Linked DNA regions of Coturnix japonica. The protein of the gene in region 3 binds, or shares a complex with, the protein of the main gene of each other region. Links are inferred from orthologs where the notes say so. Each region holds a gene or a part of one and is shown on either strand. Other genes may lie near its edges.

Region 1 (5,928 bases), on a different chromosome or scaffold from region 3:
GCTCAAGAGGTTGTCTAGAAGAAGTGTAACAAAGCTGGTGAGGAGTCTAGAACACAAGTCTTATAAGGAACAACTGAGGAAACTCAGTTTGGAGGAGGCTCAGGGGAGACCTACCTGAAAGAACACTGAAGCAAGGTGGATGTTGACCTTTTCTCCTGTATAACTAGTGATAGGACTAGAGGGAATGACATCAGGTGGTGCTAGGGGGAGGTTTAGGTTAGTTATTAGGAAGCCTTTTGTCTCTGAAAGGCTGATCAGGCACTGAAATGGGCTACTCAGGGAGGTGGTTGAATCACACTCCCTAGAGGTGTTCAAGAAATGCTTAGATGTGGTACTAAGGGAAATGGCTTAATGGGAAAATACTGGTGGTAGGTGGGTGGTTGGATGGGATGTTCCTGGGGGACTTTTCCATTCTGTGTGTGATTCTGCACATATGCATTTTGCATCTGTGTGTAAGCATAAAGATTGATTTAGGATATCCTGTGATTAAGTTCACGAATCTTGTCGTCTTTGAATTCGTAATCAAGTTGCTATTTAATTATTACTTATTTCCCTACATCTTCTTAAGTCTCTCAATTAGCTAATGATTACATGCTGTTATAATCCAATCCTTTAATTTACTTCACATTACCATTGTATCTTAAATTACTACCGAACATAACCAAGTTAAATATTTGTTCATGTCTGGTGGTGACGCATTGCTTGAATTCACTAATGTCATTTTTTCAGTATGGTATGAGAGTCCCTTTGCAGTTCTGCATACATATGTAATGCTTTGTTTATGCTTTAGTGCATAAGCTCAGTTATAGAGTTCTATCTTTGGCCGACAAAAAGGCATCCACTGTAATTATGAANGATACATATGTAATGCTTTGTTTATGCTTTAGTGCATAAGCTCAGTTATAGAGTTCTATCTTTGGCCGACAAAAAGGCATCCACTGTAATTATGAAGAGCTTTGATTCAGTAATTGTCACATAATTATTGCTTGTGCAATCTCATGTAATAACCGTTCTCAGGAGCAGTATCATTAGCCTTTTTGCGGGACTGAAGACTCGCTATTTTCTTGTGCACTAAGAATCAATTTTTTACATTGATGGACAAAATCTTTATTCAGAGCCAACAGATATTGCTTCATTTACTATCACACATCCTTCCACCAACTCTGCTTTTTGTTTTCCTTGCAGATTTGGCGTTCTTTGGAAATACAGCTTTGAGTACAAACGATGCTGACTTTCAACATCTGAGGACACACTTGTTTAAGTGAAATACATGGGATTGGCTGATTATTGCACTTCTCTTATAACCTGTCATGCAAAATGCACTGATCTGGAAAGCAAATTGCCCATTATAAATTGCCAAAGCATCCGGCTGATATTTAAAATGCATGAATAGATGTAAAGGCTACAAAACAGTATTTACAGATGCCATGAAAAAAAATTCTGAATATTCAGGTATTAATTACTAAAGAAAATTCTGAGTATTGAGGTATTAACTACTAAAGCATGATGTCAAAAGAAGCTCTTTTTATTACCAACCCGAATTAACTCGGGGGCAGCTACAATTAGAACTGGGGCTGTGTGACTGTGCACAGGGGGGGCTGGGAAGGAGAAGGGGATTTCTCCTTTCTGATGTGAAGAGCCATTCGAGGCACAGCTCTCACTTGCGCTGCTGCTTTCAGACAAACACAAAGCCCAGTAGGACATAGGCACACAACAGGGGGCTCCACACGGGCACACAGGGGACAACATGGCGGACAGCAGTCGCCCCGCCCCGCTATTGTGTCTGGCGCTGAGGCGCCCACCGCGCGCCTGAAGGACCCGAGCTCCAGCGGCGCGGCTGGAAGGCGCCTCCTCCGCCTGCTCGCCGGATTCAGGCGTTCTCCACGGGCACTCTCTGTATCCGAGGACCCCGCGTCGCTCGCTCCCGCGCCGCCCGCCTTACGCGCTCGCGTGCGCGCTCCCGCTCTCTGCCATAGTAGCGCTGTGCGGAGGTGGAAGGAGCGGCGCGGGGCCGGAGTGTGCTGAGGCGGTCATATCTCAGAGCCAGAGCGCGACGCACCGAGTCCCCCCCTCCCCTTGGGCCACTCACGCACACGGTGAGGGGGGCGGCGAGGCCCTCCGGACACCGGCGGGGTGGGGAGGGATGTGGGGGGGTGTTAATGGCCGCGCTGGGGCGATGACCGTTGGCTGGGCGAGCGGCGGCGCGCCTGCCCGTCACGTGACCGCCTTGAGCGCGCTCCCGACGCCGAGTGAGTGGCGCGGGAGCGCGCTCGGCGGGCAGGTGCGGCTGGGCGGGGAGAAGCGGCCGAGTGCGCGCCCGGCCTCACGCGTGTCCCCTGCGGCGGCCTGCTCTCCTCACGCCCGCTCTCTCCCTCGCAGAGATGCCCTCGGCTACCAACAGCACCATGGCGAGCAGCGGGAAGGCGGGACCGGGCGGCAGCGAGCAGGCACCGGCCACGGCCCCGGCGGCGACAGCGGCGGCCCCGCAGGCGTCGGGAGGCAGCATCACTTCGGTTCAGACCGAGGCCATGAAGCAGATCTTGGGAGTGATCGACAAAAAGCTCCGCAACCTCGAGAAGAAAAAGGTGCTCGCTTCTCCCTTCCCTCCTCCTCCCCAAGCCTGGCTGCCTCCAAAGGGAGGTCGCGGGCCCCTCGGGTTCCCCCCGCTGGGCCCCGGGCAGCCCGTTCCCCGTCCCGCCGCTGTCCCTTCCCCGAGCTGGGCCATGATGTTCCCCACGTCCCCGCTCCGGGCCGCGCGGGTTGTTCCCGGTGTCGCCCCCAGGGGCCGCCCGCTGGAAGGTTCCAGAAGGGCGAGCCGCGCTCTTTAGGCCATTCCCCCCTTCCTCTTATGGGGGTCCCCTCCGCAGGCTGACCCCAAGTCGGGCCCCGCTCAGCCCCAATGGCCGGACTCAGCCCTGCCCCCCTTCCCCACCGGGCTGTGGCTGAGGGTTGGGGCCGACGGGTGTAGCTCCGCTACAGATTGCGGCCCCCTCCCGGAGAGCCCCCAGTGGCGCGGCCCCCTCCCCCTTCCGCCTTTTGTTCATTGCGGCGTGTCTCTGCCGGGCTGTAGTGCGGAAGGGCCGCCGTTCCCGGCCTTCCTGCTGCCCCGCACCCCACGGGCAGCGCTCCCCCTGCCCGCTGGAGCTGACCGAGCCGTGGGGCCGGGGCTCCGCGTCCCCCCCGAGCCGCGCACATGGAGGCAGGAGCTAACATGGCGGCGGTGAGGCCGCCTAAGCCTCCCCGCCGGAACTGCATTGTGCCAGCAGCCCGCACAAAGCCGGGCCGCCCCGCCCGCTGCTCTTCGCTTCGCTCCGCTCTTGCCCCTCGGGAGTCCCGGGTCAGCTGAGAGCGGCCTTTAGGCAGTTATTTATAGAAAGAACCGCTGCTAAATCCGTGATCCTCGGCGGGTTCGGGTTTGTGACAGCGAGAAGATGATGCCGTGGTTAGTGGGGATTTACACGGCGCCGTGCCGTGCTTTGAGTTGTGGGATGCAGGGAGGGGTTCCCAACCCTCTGAGCACGAGGGATCTTTCATTAGGGCACCAGCAGGCACGGAGCCTGTAGACGGACTGGGAAACAGCATCTCCAAACTGAAATTTGGGACTTCTTTGGGATTTCTTAGTGCTGAGGCCCTAAATCTGTATTAGCTCTTAAGAGTTAATAAGCACAGTTACACTTAAGCTTTTTAACCTGTGTTTTAGGTTCTAGTAGTCTAGACGACTAGAGTACGGCAAGCAAAAACGTTAGCTCTTACAGATGAATTGCGAATGAAGCGAGCTATGTTTTATTTTGCATCTGTAAATGTGTGTGTATGGTGGTTTCTCACTTAAACCCCACAACATTGGATTTGCTACTGCTTAAGAAGCAAAAAGAAATAGGCTGGGAGCTTTTAGATAAGCTTAGAATTGAAGGATCACTTCTTGACCCTTGTCTGAATACTGTTGTGTATGGGAAATTGGTAATCACAGCCTGAACCTCTGATTAATCAGCTGAGGCAAGTGTTGGGTCAGCTGCAGGAGCACAGGTGAGAGTAATTGAGCTGTGCTCCTGGAAGAGATGGAGCTTGACTTCACCTCCTCTAGACCTCATTTAAGGGCTGACCACCACTAAGGCAGCACCTCTTGGAGATTGCTCCTTGGCAGTTGAAAAGAAGAAATGAAGAGGATCAGCATGCCCTTACTGATGTGCAAGGAACCTTTCCAGCAGTGTTTTTATTTACGTTTTCAAATAAATAAATCACACCTAATTTACACTTGGCTTGTCCATTCCCTTCTGTTTGAATGGGCCTTCTGGAGGGCTTCTGTAGTACCTGAAGTTAAAAGGGTGTGTGGAAGGCCATTATTTCAATGGAACACAGTGAAATATTAGGGTTATTGCTGATTAATGACCTGATTCTTGTTATTTTTTGTATAACTGCTGCTGTGGCTGCTGTGATGATGTTTTGATCATTATGGCGTCATAGGAGCTATATGGGAAATTGGTAATCACAGCCTGAACCTCTAATCAGCTGAGGCAAGTGTTGGGTCAGCTGTGGGAGCACAGGTGAGAGTAATTTAGCTGTGCTCCTGGAAGGGGTGGAGCTTGACTCCATCTCCTCTAGACCTCATTTAAGGGCTGACCACCTCTAAGGCAGCATCTCTTGGATGTGGTTCCCAGCTGACCAAAGGCTTCCATATGGGTGAGTTTTTCCTGTAAATAACCTTTTGGGTATTTACAATTACCATCTTATCGTTATTGTCGCCATACAGCTGCTGACTGCAGGGTAAGTAGCTTTTTTTTCTGGAAAAGTAATTCCATTAAAATTACTTAGAGTGTCTCTTTGGGAGAATCAATGCTCTGCCTCCCCCTCCATTGATCCATATGTATTAAATAAGAGTTACTGATCTGTCAACTTGAGCTTGTCTTTTAGTTGGGGAACCAACAGTTGTTGAGTAGATGAGCATTCTTTCATTGAAGAGAACAATCAATGTGTAACTTACCGTACATGTGGACTTAAGTATTTCTACTGTATTACTTAATAACTTTATGAAAACGCATAAATTAATCTTCCATGACCTTTTTTTTTTAACTATGGAGAAAGCAAAATCACGCTGATTAGTGTCCAGTTGGGAATGAGTGGGAAAACTGTATAAATCACACAGAAAATTCCTGCTTAGCTGAACATGCAGTAGTTTGTCAGGTTAGTTTGAGGGCTCCGTTTTTGAGAGCTGTTATAACATCATATTTGTCTAAGACGTGCTTCTGGTGGATGAAGAGTAAGAAGTACTGCCTTAACTCTGAAATGCAGTGGGCAGCTTTAAGTTTAATAAGGGTTATTCCTTCTGAAGGAACTCAAAGTTGGAAGTAAATTGTTGTCACGTTCCATTTTAAGCTCTGAGCACAAAGTTGCATGACCAGCAAAATATGGTATAGAACTCATAATGTTACTCAGCTTTGTACTATTTTGCATGGGTCTGAGTATTTTGGAAATAGGAAGGTGTTACGGTTTTATGTTCTTCTCTTAAAAGTTATCTCATTACTTCAAACAAGTCTGGCTTAGTTTAAAGGCTTTTAAGAGAAACTGAATTGTTGTTCGTAAATGTATGTGGAAACATGGCCTGGAAATGTCTGTGTTGTCTTCATCTCTTTGTGTTTGGAAGTGGTAGGAATGCCAGCCTGTTTTTTTTCTTTCTTTCATTAGGTGAGTAGATCCTTTCCAAATGAAGCTGATTGAATACAGATCAAACCCATGTCCTCTTACAATGGGGAGTGAAAAAACAAAGAGAGCCTTATGATTCAGCTAATAAAAACAATGTTTAAAACCAAATATTCTCTGAAAGGGACAAAATCTCTCATTTGCTAACATGCTTTAAGATACTGGCAGGCAATCACCTAGATGATTCTTGGGGCACTGCAGCTATGAAGTACGTTATCTTAAAGTACTTGATGT
Region 2 (5,962 bases), on a different chromosome or scaffold from region 3:
GAAGATAACCCTCTTTTGCAAAGGAAAAAGAACAGATGCTTAAAAACAGATTTCTAGAAATCACTGTAAGCCTGAGCCAGAAATGTAATTAACACCTATTTATAAAGAACAATTAAAGTTGTGACTGCCACAAAGAATAGCGCAGATAATCGAGGTAGCCCCTGCTTTTTTCTTTTTTTTTTTTTTTAGATTTTTTTTTTCCCCTTACACTGTTTGCAGTATTCCCACATGATTGCCACCTGCTCCCCCACTCAGCTTCCCCTCTGCTCGTTTCCCCGGCAACCTTTCATTGGCTTTTCCTCCCAGCTATCGCTTTCAGTTCGGCTGCTCAGTCTAATCTTATTTGTTTTACACCCATCAAAACAAGCAGGCAGACAAAGGCAATCCTGTAAGAAAGGGAAAAGACCGACGCTTTGTTTCCCCGGCCGCTCTCCGTGGCGGCGGCGAGGGGACCGGGCGGGGGGTTCATTGTGCGCGGCCCCCCGCCCCCGGGATGCGATCGTGCCATTTTGCACAAGGCGAGCACAAAAGGGGGAGAGCGCGGCTCGGGTCCCTCGGCTGCCAGTGCGGGCTAAAAATAGAATTACTATCCGCGCACAGAAATATGGCTTTTCCCTTCTCCTCGGTATGGAGGAAGAAGAAGGAGAAAAAAAAAAAATAATATATATATATATATATATATATATATATAAAGATGCACAAAGCGCACAGCCCGCAGCCCCGCACTACCTGACACCCCACGCTCGGCCCCACGCGGGGCCACCCGCACCCCCCGCGTTGCTCCCGGCCCGACGCGGCGCTGCCCATCGCGGTGGCGGCTCCCGAACAAAGAGCCCCGCGCGGTGCGGTGCGGCGGGGCGAGGCGCCGAGCTCACTTACCATCTTCAGGCCATTCCACTCCATCTGGGATCGCCAAGATGGACCCTCAGAGCCCCTCACCGAGTCGGAAGCAAAGAGAGCGTTATGTAAAAGCTGACATTCCTTCTTACAGCGCGGCTGCCCAGCGATGCAACAAAATCGACATAGACTAGGCGCTGCAACACACACAGCCTCCTCCTCTTTTTATGAGGTCATGACAGGAAACTCTTTGAAATACAATATGCAGCATTTACCGAAGCTCATATAAATCACTCGCTTTTAAAATTACCATACCTATTGCGCAGTCCACCAAAAGAAAATTACCAATCTCGAGGCTTTTTTTTTTTGTCCTCCCCTCTCCTCCCCCCCCCCTCCTTTTTCCCCCCACCCCCCCTCGAGGATTTCGCATCTCCGAACGCCGCCGTGCACGCACCCCCCGCTCGCACAAAGCCACGCACCGCCCGGCATCAGCGCTGCTCTCCGCTCCGAGCGCACCGCCGCCACCTCGCAACCAGAGTACATCCTTTATTAAAGGACGCGCAGACATTAAATATGAAAGGGAGGGAGGGAGAGAGAGAGAGAGAGGGAAGAGAGAGGGAGAGATCATGGACAAGCACAGCAAGCCACCCCCGTGTGAGACAGGCGGAGAGCGATGCACGTTTGGGGAAATCTATGTCAGCCTCTACGTCTACCTCTACAGACACCCGCTGCGACCGAGCTTAAATCTACCAATACCTACCATAACCATTCTTAATGGCAAATATTGGGTCTTGAAAGGCTTCAACTCTTCTACAGACTGGCTAAGGTTTTCGGGGACCTGACTTTTATTGGTATTTGTTAAGATCCACCAAGCACAGTGTGGGCAGCGGGCGCTGTGGGCGCGGGGCGGGCGGTGTAGCCGCGCTGCCCGCTCGCTGCTGGCGCTGCCGCTGCTGGCGCTGCTGCCGCCGGCCCCGCGCCGCGCCCATTTATGGCCCCATCTGTCAGCGGCGAACGCGCGCTCATTGGCCGCCGCCGCGCGGGGAGGCGTCGCGACATCAGGTGCTATTGAAATGAGCCGCCGCCAGATTGACGGTGTTAATGAGCCGCTGACCTCCGCCCGCAGCGGCACCGGGCGGGGTTCCGAACCGCGCCGCTCGTTAAGGCCCAGCGCGGCCCCTCACCGCCTCGACTCGGCCCTCCCAGCACCGCCGCCCGGAGGGGAGCCGGGCTCGAGGCCTGCTGCCCCCTGCGCCCCAACGGCCGCACCGCAACGCCCCTCCATGGGGCTGGGGGCGGCCCGGCGCTCGGCCGGCATTGTGCTGAGCGGAGCGTGCCCGAGTTCACCGTGAGCGCAAACACACGCGGCCTCCGCTGACAGAACAGCCGCCCCACGCAGCGCATCTACCGCCCCGAGAGCGGCGGGTTAGTGACAGCTGTCACACAGCAGCGCATTCCTATCCCATATTCTGAGATTCCCATTCCACATTCTGAGATCCCTATCCCATATTCTGAGATTCCCATCCCATATTCCAAGATCCCTATCCCATATTCCTGAGATCCCCATTCCACATCCTGAGATCCCTAGTCCATATTCTGAGATTCCTTGCTCGCAGGTTGGCCGAGCCAGCACGGCATCCTTTCATCACAGCTGACCTGGAGTTGGCTTTCACCCCCACTAAAGCGCAAAGCTCCACACGCACGCAGGGATCGCCTCATTCCACCATTCCTGGCAGTAAAGATGGTCCCTCATAGTTCAGTACTAACGGAGCGCTCCTAAACCTGGGGTGAAAGCGGAGCAGTGGGTGAGCACCACACTAAGAGCACACAGAGCTGCTTCTGAGCAGGAAAGGCAGCTCTGAACGAACCACTACACACACCTCTGAAAACACCCAGCTGGACAGACACTGCTCTACAAGTTACGCTTTATTTCTCAATCTCAATGTGCCCCCTCGGAGCTGCTCAGCTCAGAGCCGACATGCCGTACACCTCACATTGTACACAGTCGTACACACGCTCACCGAACACATGAATACAATGTATTAAATACAGTCAGATACAAAGCCCAGCTCCAAACCGACCCAGCACAGAGAAAAGCGCATGTACGAGACATCACACAGCCTGGCTGTGGAATGAGTACTGAATTCAATTAAAATAGGAACAATGTAAGGATGCTGCGGAGGGTTTCTCTCCCCATACATCTTTTTGAGCACATTTCTAGCTTGGTAAAAACTAGCAGAGATTAAAGTCACACAGAAGATCCGTTTCCCAACTCAAATATAGAGGTGACCCACTCAAACACACCGGCATCACAGTGCTACAGAGCCGCTTTATTACCATACATTCACGTGCAAATATACACCGAATACTGAAGTTAAATTTGTAATGCAAATTTTTTTTACTTATGGTCTCTTCTGGGTTAATAACAATTAGAGAAGAAAACCCAGAAATTATTTTTTCATGTCTTTTCCAAGTTGAGCTCACTTGGTTGCTATAAACTGGTTTCTGCATATCACACGATTCAGCCATTTTTCTGAAGCAATAATTGAACACTGCTCCGCTAACAAAATAAATCAGCTCTTTCGTTTCTCTATAAATCCAGGTGCTCCGCACACCGACCGCGTTCCCCACAAACACCCCCACACACACACAGGCTTTCTGAGGAGCACTAAAACAAACGCTCAACCGTCCTCAGAGGCCTCCCCTCCGTAAAGACAAAGGCAGAATCCTATTGTTGGAAAAGAAAAGTCAACCTTATTCTCTCGTCTTTCCAATAGTACCATTTATCTCTCAGGGTAAGCGCCTGGCCACGGCATCACAGTTGTGGCACATTCGTAAAGCATCAAATTCTCAATACAGCCCCTCCAGAATCCACCAGCAAGCATATTTTTAATGCAGTCTTCCATCCCCACAAAATAGAAACTTGTCTTAAACAGCTTATCCAATATCAAAATGAAATCACAGGGTTGTTTCCCAGCCCCCCCACCCCCCCTCCTCCCTCTCCTTACCATAAATGAGCAGTTTCTTGACTCATTAATGACAGTTTCCCTTAAAAGAAGTGATCTCATATCACTGAGCCCCTCTCCACCACGCATACATCCCAAAGGTTGCGGGTATCTTAGCATCAGTAGCCGCTAGCAAGCTCTCTCATACAGAGCCCAGATGGACTATACCAGAAGCCAATTCAGCGTTAATAACTACCTACTCTGTGCAGTTTAGAAGCCTTACGTGGCATAATGTCCTAGGCAACAGCAGCCGATTGAAACCGCAAATAAAAGACAACCCAATTCTCCAAAAGCATCGAAAGGAAAGGAAAAAAAAAACCATAATAAATCAAAGAACGATTTTTTTAATCTCTTACTTTCAGAAGATTAATCTGAAGCCTTCATAAACATAGGAAAAAAAGGAGAAAAAACAGATGCTGCCCAGAAAAAGTGACAAAATATTACCTCATTATTTAACAAAGCAGCATTAAGCGTCCTGCTGATTTCAAACATCTTGCCACAGATTTTGGTTAAGAGAAACAGAAAGAATCCTTTGCAAGCCCTCTGTCTGCAAAGGGTTCTTCAATTTTCTTGCGCACAACAGAATAGTCAATATGTTATTTCCCTAGAGTTCGCACATTAAAACATCTAGTCAGTGAGCTGAATTTTCCCCCTTATCACACAGTAGACTCCTGTTATATGTACTGCTCTCTTTGCAAGATTAGCCTGCCCCAAACATGGCTGTTGTTTAAACTATTCTTTAAAGTAACAGTTCACTCCATAACCACCAGGTGGGCAGTGTACACAAATTCAAGTAACCATCTTAAACATTTCTTCTTGCAATCGCTTTAGGTTGTGATACAGCAGAACCCACACCCCTACACTTATCAAGCAGGAGGAGGAAAAAAGCATGTATATGATTCAAATACATACGTATGGTTTGCACTGTTCTGTGCACTTCCCTCTCAGGGAGGGCAAATAATTTAAAAAACCCAAAACTTTCACCATTATTTTTTTAAAGGGAACTTAAAATTTACACAGGAGCATTTCATTCAGCAAATAAAAGGACTAAATGGTTACACCCAGTCAGTTCAGAGAACAAAATGTAATTAGAACGGAAAACGCACCCATTGACATGGTCTGTACTGCGGAACAAAATTAGCATCAAGCTCAGCGTGACAGTGCGTAAGGAAAACACAACATCCAGCACGTAAATAATTCACATGTGGGTAGAGTCTGTTAGGAAATACTAACCATACCTCCAAGCAAAATCACAGACAACTTGATAAGATAATGCCATGACGTAGTTTGGCTTAAATTCATTTATGAAATCACTGTTGCACGCATCAAAGCACATGACTGAAAAATGCATGGGAAGAATACACTTTAACAGTGCACGAATCTCCTCATTTATCAAACTCCCCATTCCCATGTCTGCGAGCTTCCACCAACCCCTTCTTCCATAAGGCCAAATACCTCAAGGAATACTTCCATTACTACAGAAAACAAATGTACTCTGTGCTCTACAGCAACACCCAGAGGCCTGAATGAGATCGGGATCCTTCACACTCGGTGCTATGCAAACTACTAAAAGTTGATTCTTAACAAAGGATTTGAAAACATACTAAGGGAGCACAAAACAGATGTGTGAGAAGGAACAACAAATACCAAGTGCCTCTGCAGGCCAGGCCAGACAGCTGTGAGAACTTCCAGCCACTACCTGCACAAAGGCAGAACCCAAAAGGTTATTTTCTGTGATTAAACAAAAAAAAAAGCATGATACGGACCAAGGCTTCTTTGGATTTTTCACCTACAAAGTATTGCTATTTCTTTCATACACAGCAATCCTTGCTGAGTAAGTACACACAGAGTAGCGGTTTTCTTTGTTGGCCTTTAACTAATATTAAAGTGATGCAGTAATGACTTAACCTTCTTGAATATGTATTGAGTTTCAAGTCATCCCTTTTATATGAGGAGAAAGGTTATTTGCATCGATTTCTGTTTGCATGAAATAAGCTTATTTTCTCATTCACCATATGCCTTGAACACTAATTAAAAGTGTCACTTTCTTCTAATGTAAAAGCATAACCATTCAGTAAATAAGTATCCTTGGCTTTCTGGACTTTGTGATAATCTATTTA
Region 3 (6,203 bases):
TGTGCACTACAGATTTATGATAGGGGAACATAAAACATTTGCAAGTTACCAGTTACAAGTTAGAAGCCGTGCATCACTCCTTACAGAACGGAGACAAAGCAGGTAAGGGAGAAGCTCCAGGGAATACACAAATTTAAGTTCCTAATATCTAACGCTGACTTAAATACCATGGCACCAAACTACACATCTTTCTAGAGGCCCAAAAAGCAAGAGAGATCTGAACTCACAGCTACTATTCTATATTCCTCTTGAGGGAGGACTCAGCCAGTTTCTAGCTGAGACTGGTGTGACTATACAGGTCTGTAAATAGCCACTGGTTTTAGAGCACCCCACGCCAGTCAGGAGTCCATCACAACAACCTCCATACACACTAATCCTTTGTGTATATCTGGATGAACAGTTTTACTACTGAGAAGCTGTAACCAGGGATGCAGTGTTAGGCAAACAGCTCCAATACAAGTGGCACATGCCTTGTTCCATCTCCTCTTCGTCCTAGAATGCTTCTTGGGCTGCTTATACCCTGCTTTACTTTCATGGAGGAAACTGGAATTGTCCTGATACCAAAATTAAACAAGCTAAGGAAGGCTGCTGTACAGAAACTTGAGGCAGGAAACTAAGATCATCTGCCTTGAGCACAACTAGTCCACTCCAGACGATCACAGGTTGCTACTGCATTAAGTATTAGAGCAAACAGCCCTTGTGATCTGACAGAAACCCAACATTAATTCCTCTTGAAACTCTGAGTTCTCTCAAAGCCTTGAAAATTCATAGAAGTCTTCCTACACTTTTAATCCAAAGAAAGACTAAATAAATCAGATCCTCCCAAAGAGGCTATTCACCTCAATCAGGGCAAAGGACTTTCATATCTAAGTGGACACATCCCAATCTCACTCTATGGAAAGAATTGTTTTTCCACATGTTTCAGCTGTGACAATTTAATCCACAAGGGACAGCAATAACCTCCATTGTTTATCAGTTATCTCCTTAATGAAAAGTTAGTCAACTTTGAGCCCATACAGCTCCCTAAACTTCTCCTCTATAGAAGTAGTGACTTAAACCCTATGATTTTGCCATTAGAACAGGTTTTGTTCTGCCATCCAAGAGCTGCTCCAACAACCCGATGAAGCTGGCAGCAGGTCCAGTCCTTTTCTCTTAGCTCTGCCATTTTTTCCTATTTGGCTCCACTGCCGCTTCTCAAAGTAAAAAGGAGAAGCTATTCAGAGCAGTCAGATGAAGCAGATTAGAACACCTAGCTATACAGATATCAATGTGAAATTCAAGCTCACTCCCATTTGGAATCGAGTCACAAGAATTAAGGTTTAACCAAATGCTTCCTGCATGCCAAGCAATGGATTCCTCTTGAGTCAACTACTGCACTGCTGTCCATTCTGCTGCAGAAGACTCTTAATCCTCAGACACATCATCAGCCAACTCAGATTTATCCATCCTGGGCACCTTGTTAAGACGCTCATCATCAACACAAAATCAGCACGACAAAGAACCATAAGTTGATGTAGAAAGAGGCTGAGGCAATACAGATAGAAGTGGAAAATGGCCACCAATGCTTTGAAATTCAGTATTGCACATTTGTCTCGGTAAGGAATGCACAAATCTGCAAAGAGCTCCATAACTGACAGCTCGCCATCTCCGAGCTCTCAAAGCAAGTACTCCACCAGCTCTGCCTCTGGAAGAGATCCAGCCTTAATATAGCAGAACTAGGACTCCACACCAGGAGAATATCCATCGCCTGCACAGTTTTAGGCATTCTTACAGTAGGTGAAGATAAAGGGGTTTGTTTGGTGGATTTCTGTTGTTGTTGAGGGCAGCATTTTGCTAGCTTTAATTGCCCAGTGAGGTACCTTAAGATCATCAGGACTATCGGTTCCCACAGGACTTTAATTGCCAGTTGCTTCACATCGATTCTGGCTATTTTACACAGGCATCCATAGAAAGGATCCACTCTTCCAGGCAAAACTACCACTTCCCCCCTCCCCCCTTTATTTCAAATACAGTGAACAAGCACCACCCAAAGCCCCGCTCTACTTTGATTTCCTCTTTGATTTTTTTTCTCTCGTCACATTGCTTGGATGGACAAAAAAAGGACTCAGGTTTAATATTAAACCACAACAATTCAAGTTCTGTTTCCCAGCAGGACATTTATGTTAATCTTATGAATGCTTTATCAGAAGTTCCCAACAGAACTACCCAATATGTACAAGCAGTAACACCATTTTTGTTCCCTTTACTACATGTTCCTCCATACATGCTATTATAACCACTTGCATAGAGAAAAAGGAAACAGCTGGTTTTCTATGATCATAGAATATGATTCCATGACTCTGAACCAGCTTTCAGATGCTCCCTCAGCCATTACAGAAGGTTTGGCTCCTAGTGAACTAATTGTTACTACAGATTTTTATCACAAAGATCCTCTGTGACTTCTGGATTACAAGACCTACATCCCCAAATCACATCAACACTAAGAACTAACCTTCTATTTTGCTATGAGGCCCACTCAGCCATTTTTTAACCTCAAAAAGGAGATTCCATACTTCTCTAGGCTGAAGTAAATATAGTGAATGATGACTTCACTGAATATATTGACTCAGACACCTCTGAAAGAGGTGAGCCCAGTTCACAGGATGCCCATATGGTTATAGCAGCACCATAGATTATCATGGATCTTTTAGCACAATGACTAGGCTTCCTCTTCAGAGAAAGGGAAGTTTATATTAAAAAAAGTGAAAACCAGGCCAAAAGGAAGAGTATAGAAACTAACTAAAGCGCAGGGTTTGTCTGTCAGCTCCTGCACTCCATCCTCTTATTGATGCCTGTCCATAGAGCCTTGTTGGCTGGGAACAACTCAACACATAACATTCAATTCAGAGCACTTGAAAGCGTGAGCTTATAGAGCTACAACAGCATCACCCACGTTTCTTAAAGCCGTCACTTCATCCTGGAGAGCACAGGCTGGACAAAAATAGCATGGCCTGGAAACATGGCTGCTTGCTGCAAATGCTGCTTTCAGCCAATCGTGGAGAAAAAAAAACCCAAGTCATTGTTTTGTGCACGTAGTGAGCATTCATTGCAAAAAGCCTTAACAAAAGAAGTCACCGGGTATCTCCGTTAAAATCAGTAACTCAGAAGGTCGTCCAGATCAGGAGCAAAGCGCACGTGGATGATATCCAAACCTTTCCGCCGTTGTTCCAGGCGCATTTCGGGCCTTGTAAGAAGCTGAGCAGCCTCCTCACAAACAGTGCTTTAAATCTTGGCTCGATCCCGGCCCAGCCAAGGTCATGCGGGCAGCCGAGCTCCTCCATCCCCGCGGTGCCATCCCCGAACACACGCATGTGGCAGCGCGCTGCTCGCGGCCCGGAGGGAGCGCTGAGCCCGTGCAGCCCAGAACCGAGCTGTGGGTTATCTCACATCGCCCTTCCCTCCTCCCAAAACCAAACAAAGCAATAAATAAAAAGCACGGGATGAAAAAGAAGGAGGAAAAAAAAAGAAAGAAAGCAAAAAAAGAAAGAAAGGCAGGCAGGCAGCGCGCAGAGCCGAGAACAAAGCTCGCAGCCCCGCATCCCGATGCACATAATGCCGGCCCGCTCCCCCCCCCTCCTCCCGGCCCCAACGGCCGGTAACCACTCCCGCACGGCGCCCCGCAGCCCCGCGCCCGGCTCACAAGGCCCCGATAGGCCCCCCCCCCATACACACAGTGCTGCCCACAGAGCCGGGCCGGGCCTCACCGCGCTGCGACGGCCGGCAACGAGCGGGGCCCATCCCCAACCCCAACCCCATCCCCCCCCTCCAGGCCTCGGCCTACCCCGGGGATAGGGGGCAGCGCTGAGGGGGATGGAAATGGGATCGCCCCGGTGCACGCAGCCCTCCGCCATCCCCACGAGGCCGCGGCCCCGCTCCCAGCCCGGCCCTGCCCCCCTCACCTGCGGGCGGAGCGGGACGGCAGCGGGAGGCGTCGCAGGAGCACAGGCCTGCCCGGCGGACGACAAGCACCTCACGCAACGGCGTGCTCTGCCGCCGGCTACATATATCCGGCGCGCAGCCTAACCCGGCGGGAGGCTGCTCCACCAATCACACAGCGCCGCTCTCCTTCATTCGGACGCTGATTGGTTCGGAGAGGGGAAAGGAGGCGGGATGATAAATGAATGGCAGCTCACTCTATCAACCACGCGGCCTGGCTGCGCGGAGCGGGGAGATTGACAGACAGCGATCCGAACCAATAGGAGGCGAAGCTCTCGGTGCTGAGGCGGGGCTAGACCTAACGGTAGCCAATAGGACGACGCTGACCGCGAGACCAGGCGCGAAAGGCGGGGCAGGCGTGACGCCGTAGTGTGGTTGAAGCGCACAGCAGCGCCCTTGAGAAGGTGCTGGTAAACCCCGTTAGAGATGGGGGCGGGACCTATCCAATCCTATCCAATGGGAGGGCGCGACGGGCTATGATGGACAGGCAGGGCCTTAAAGGGACAGTCACCCCGCACGAGGGGCGGCATTGAGTGCCCCGTACCACCCCCTGCTGGGGGGCAGCGCTGGGACGGGCATTGGTTATCACTAAGAGCAGGCTGCGAGATCTCCAATGGGCCTCACTAGGTCGCCTCTGACCCCCTGAGCCTCATCTGAACAACACATAGTGCAGGTGTGGATGCTGAGGACAGCAGGATGGAGGAGCAGCAGGTAGCTGGCTGAGCAGGCTGTGTTTGTATCCCATCATATCTATGACATGAAGCACTATCAGATATATTGGACTGTCTCAGACTGAGTCCCTCCCCACCACCACATCCCAGCCCTGCCCACCCCCCTCCCTGTGTGCCCGGCTATTTATAGGGCTGCAGCACAATCTGCCAGCGCATCAATCACAGCTGTGGGGCTCAACGTCAGAGCAGTGACCCACAGCTCAAATAACCACTGCTGGGACCACGGCGGCATTGGGAGGAAAGGGAGCTCACGTTGTGATAGAGCAGCACAGCAGCCAGGTCCTGTGTGCAGCACAATGAATGTCTATGGGCTCTCAGTTGGCATCCCCCTGGGTGAGCAGAGCAAAGGCCTTCAGCCCTAATCCTGCTTTGCTGTGACCCATAGAGCTGCCATTCAGCCTCACCGATCAGGAAAACGGGAAGAGCAACATAACCAAGGGGCTGTTCTCAGAACAAAAACATCCTAAAACATACATCGTCCCTAAAAGGCCATTCAAACAGCTTTGCTCAGCCTTAAGACCACACCAAAAAGCCCCCAAACACCCGCAGCAAATGACTTGTCTCACTAAGAGCCGAACATTGAAGCTTCACGGGCAGCTCGTACCCTACCGAGCCTCCTCGGGCCCCGGGGGCGCTGTGCGGAGCTGAGCTCAGCGCCGCCCCTTCCTCCGAGCCGGGAACCGGGAGCCGGAGCCACGCCATGCCGGTGGGTGCGGGACGGGAGGGCGGCGGGGGGGACAGCGAAGGGCCGGGGGATGGAACCACCTTGAGCTTGTCAGAACATGAAGGAAATGCCAGTTCCGCATAGGAATGGTGATAAATGGTGATGCTGAGCGCTTTGGTTTTGCTCAGTTCCGCACTGATCCGCGCTGTGATGATAGTGGGGGGTTAAAGGTGGTTTGGAGTAAAAAGATGGAGGGGTTGAGGGTGGGAGACAGGGAGCAGCATTGATTTTCTTGTTTAAGGATATCAGGTGAAGGAGATAGGGCCTGTCCCGTACAGAAGGCTGAGCACAGTGGATAGCCTTAGGGCCACGCATGTGTGCACTGTGAGTACTGCGGGTAGTGGTCCTCAAGCTTATTTTCATGATGTTTTTATGAGTTTGGGGCATGATGATATGATATATGATAGGATAGGCATTGCAGAGCAAAGCAGCAGGCTTGCTCCTCCTGGGCTGTGCATACAATGGGTCCAGGAGAATCACAGAATCACAGAATGACCCGGGTTGGAAGGGACCTCAAGGATCATGTAGTTCCAACCCCCCTGCCTAGCAGGGCCAGGAGAACCCCCTGAGAGCTGTGCTGGCCCTGGAGGTGTCCTGATTCCAGTGCATGGTTGGAGCAGGCAGCCTCCAGAGGACCCTCCAGGTGGTGGTGAATGCTGCTGAACCCTCATCTGTCTTCTTGCAGAAACACGAGTTCTTTGTGGACATGACCTGCGAAGGCTGCTCCAATGCAGTCACCCGTGTCCTGCATAGACTGGGAGGTGAGTCGAGCT

The links. Proteins that work in one complex are often made in the same cells at the same time.
Region 1: the proteins of G3BP1 (region 3) and CAPRIN1 are in contact, whole or in part, in a crystal structure (PDB 8TH7), measured with the Homo sapiens proteins. The link is inferred for Coturnix japonica from reciprocal best matches to the Homo sapiens genes G3BP1 and CAPRIN1. Residues at the interface, in NP_005745.1 of Homo sapiens: Glu4, Lys5, Pro6, Ser7, Leu10, Val11, Glu14, Phe15, Arg17, Gln18, Thr21, Leu22, Met29, His31, Arg32, Phe33, Tyr34, Gly35, Lys36, Gln58, Lys59, His62, Leu114, Glu117, Asn122, Lys123, Phe124, Tyr125; in NP_005889.3 of Homo sapiens: Met363, Gln365, Met366, Gln367, Gly368, Pro369, Tyr370, Asn371, Phe372, Ile373, Gln374, Asp375, Ser376, Met377, Leu378.
Region 2: G3BP1 (region 3) and ELAVL4 share a complex: the UniProt entries of both Homo sapiens proteins name them as parts of the TAU mRNP complex. The link is inferred for Coturnix japonica from reciprocal best matches to the Homo sapiens genes G3BP1 and ELAVL4.

Annotation. Positions count from the first base shown.
Region 1 is NC_029520.1:6,354,496-6,360,423, reverse strand, and holds the start of CAPRIN1 (caprin-1), read left to right. Parts: upstream 1-1,906; 5' UTR 1,907-2,096; intron 2,097-2,379; 5' UTR 2,380-2,381; coding exon 2,382-2,585; intron 2,586-5,928. UniProt on the Homo sapiens protein: mRNA-binding protein that acts as a regulator of mRNAs transport, translation and/or stability, and which is involved in neurogenesis, synaptic plasticity in neurons and cell proliferation and migration in multiple cell types.
Region 2 is NC_029523.1:21,013,873-21,019,834, reverse strand, and holds the start of ELAVL4 (ELAV-like protein 4), read right to left. Parts: upstream 4,023-5,962; 5' UTR 3,963-4,022; coding exon 3,846-3,962; intron 2,016-3,845; exon of another isoform or gene 1,607-2,015; coding exon of another isoform or gene 1,598-1,606; intron 1,437-1,597; exon of another isoform or gene 1,406-1,436; coding exon of another isoform or gene 1,292-1,405; intron 1,169-1,291; exon of another isoform or gene 904-1,168; coding exon of another isoform or gene 880-903; intron 1-879. UniProt on the Homo sapiens protein: RNA-binding protein that is involved in the post-transcriptional regulation of mRNAs. Plays a role in the regulation of mRNA stability, alternative splicing and translation.
Region 3 is NC_029528.1:5,160,720-5,166,922, reverse strand, and holds the start of G3BP1 (ras GTPase-activating protein-binding protein 1), read right to left. Parts: upstream 4,071-6,203; 5' UTR 3,939-4,070; intron 1-3,938. Other genes in the region: copper transport protein ATOX1, read left to right, coding at 5,407-5,412, 6,116-6,191. UniProt on the Homo sapiens protein: Protein involved in various processes, such as stress granule formation and innate immunity. Plays an essential role in stress granule formation.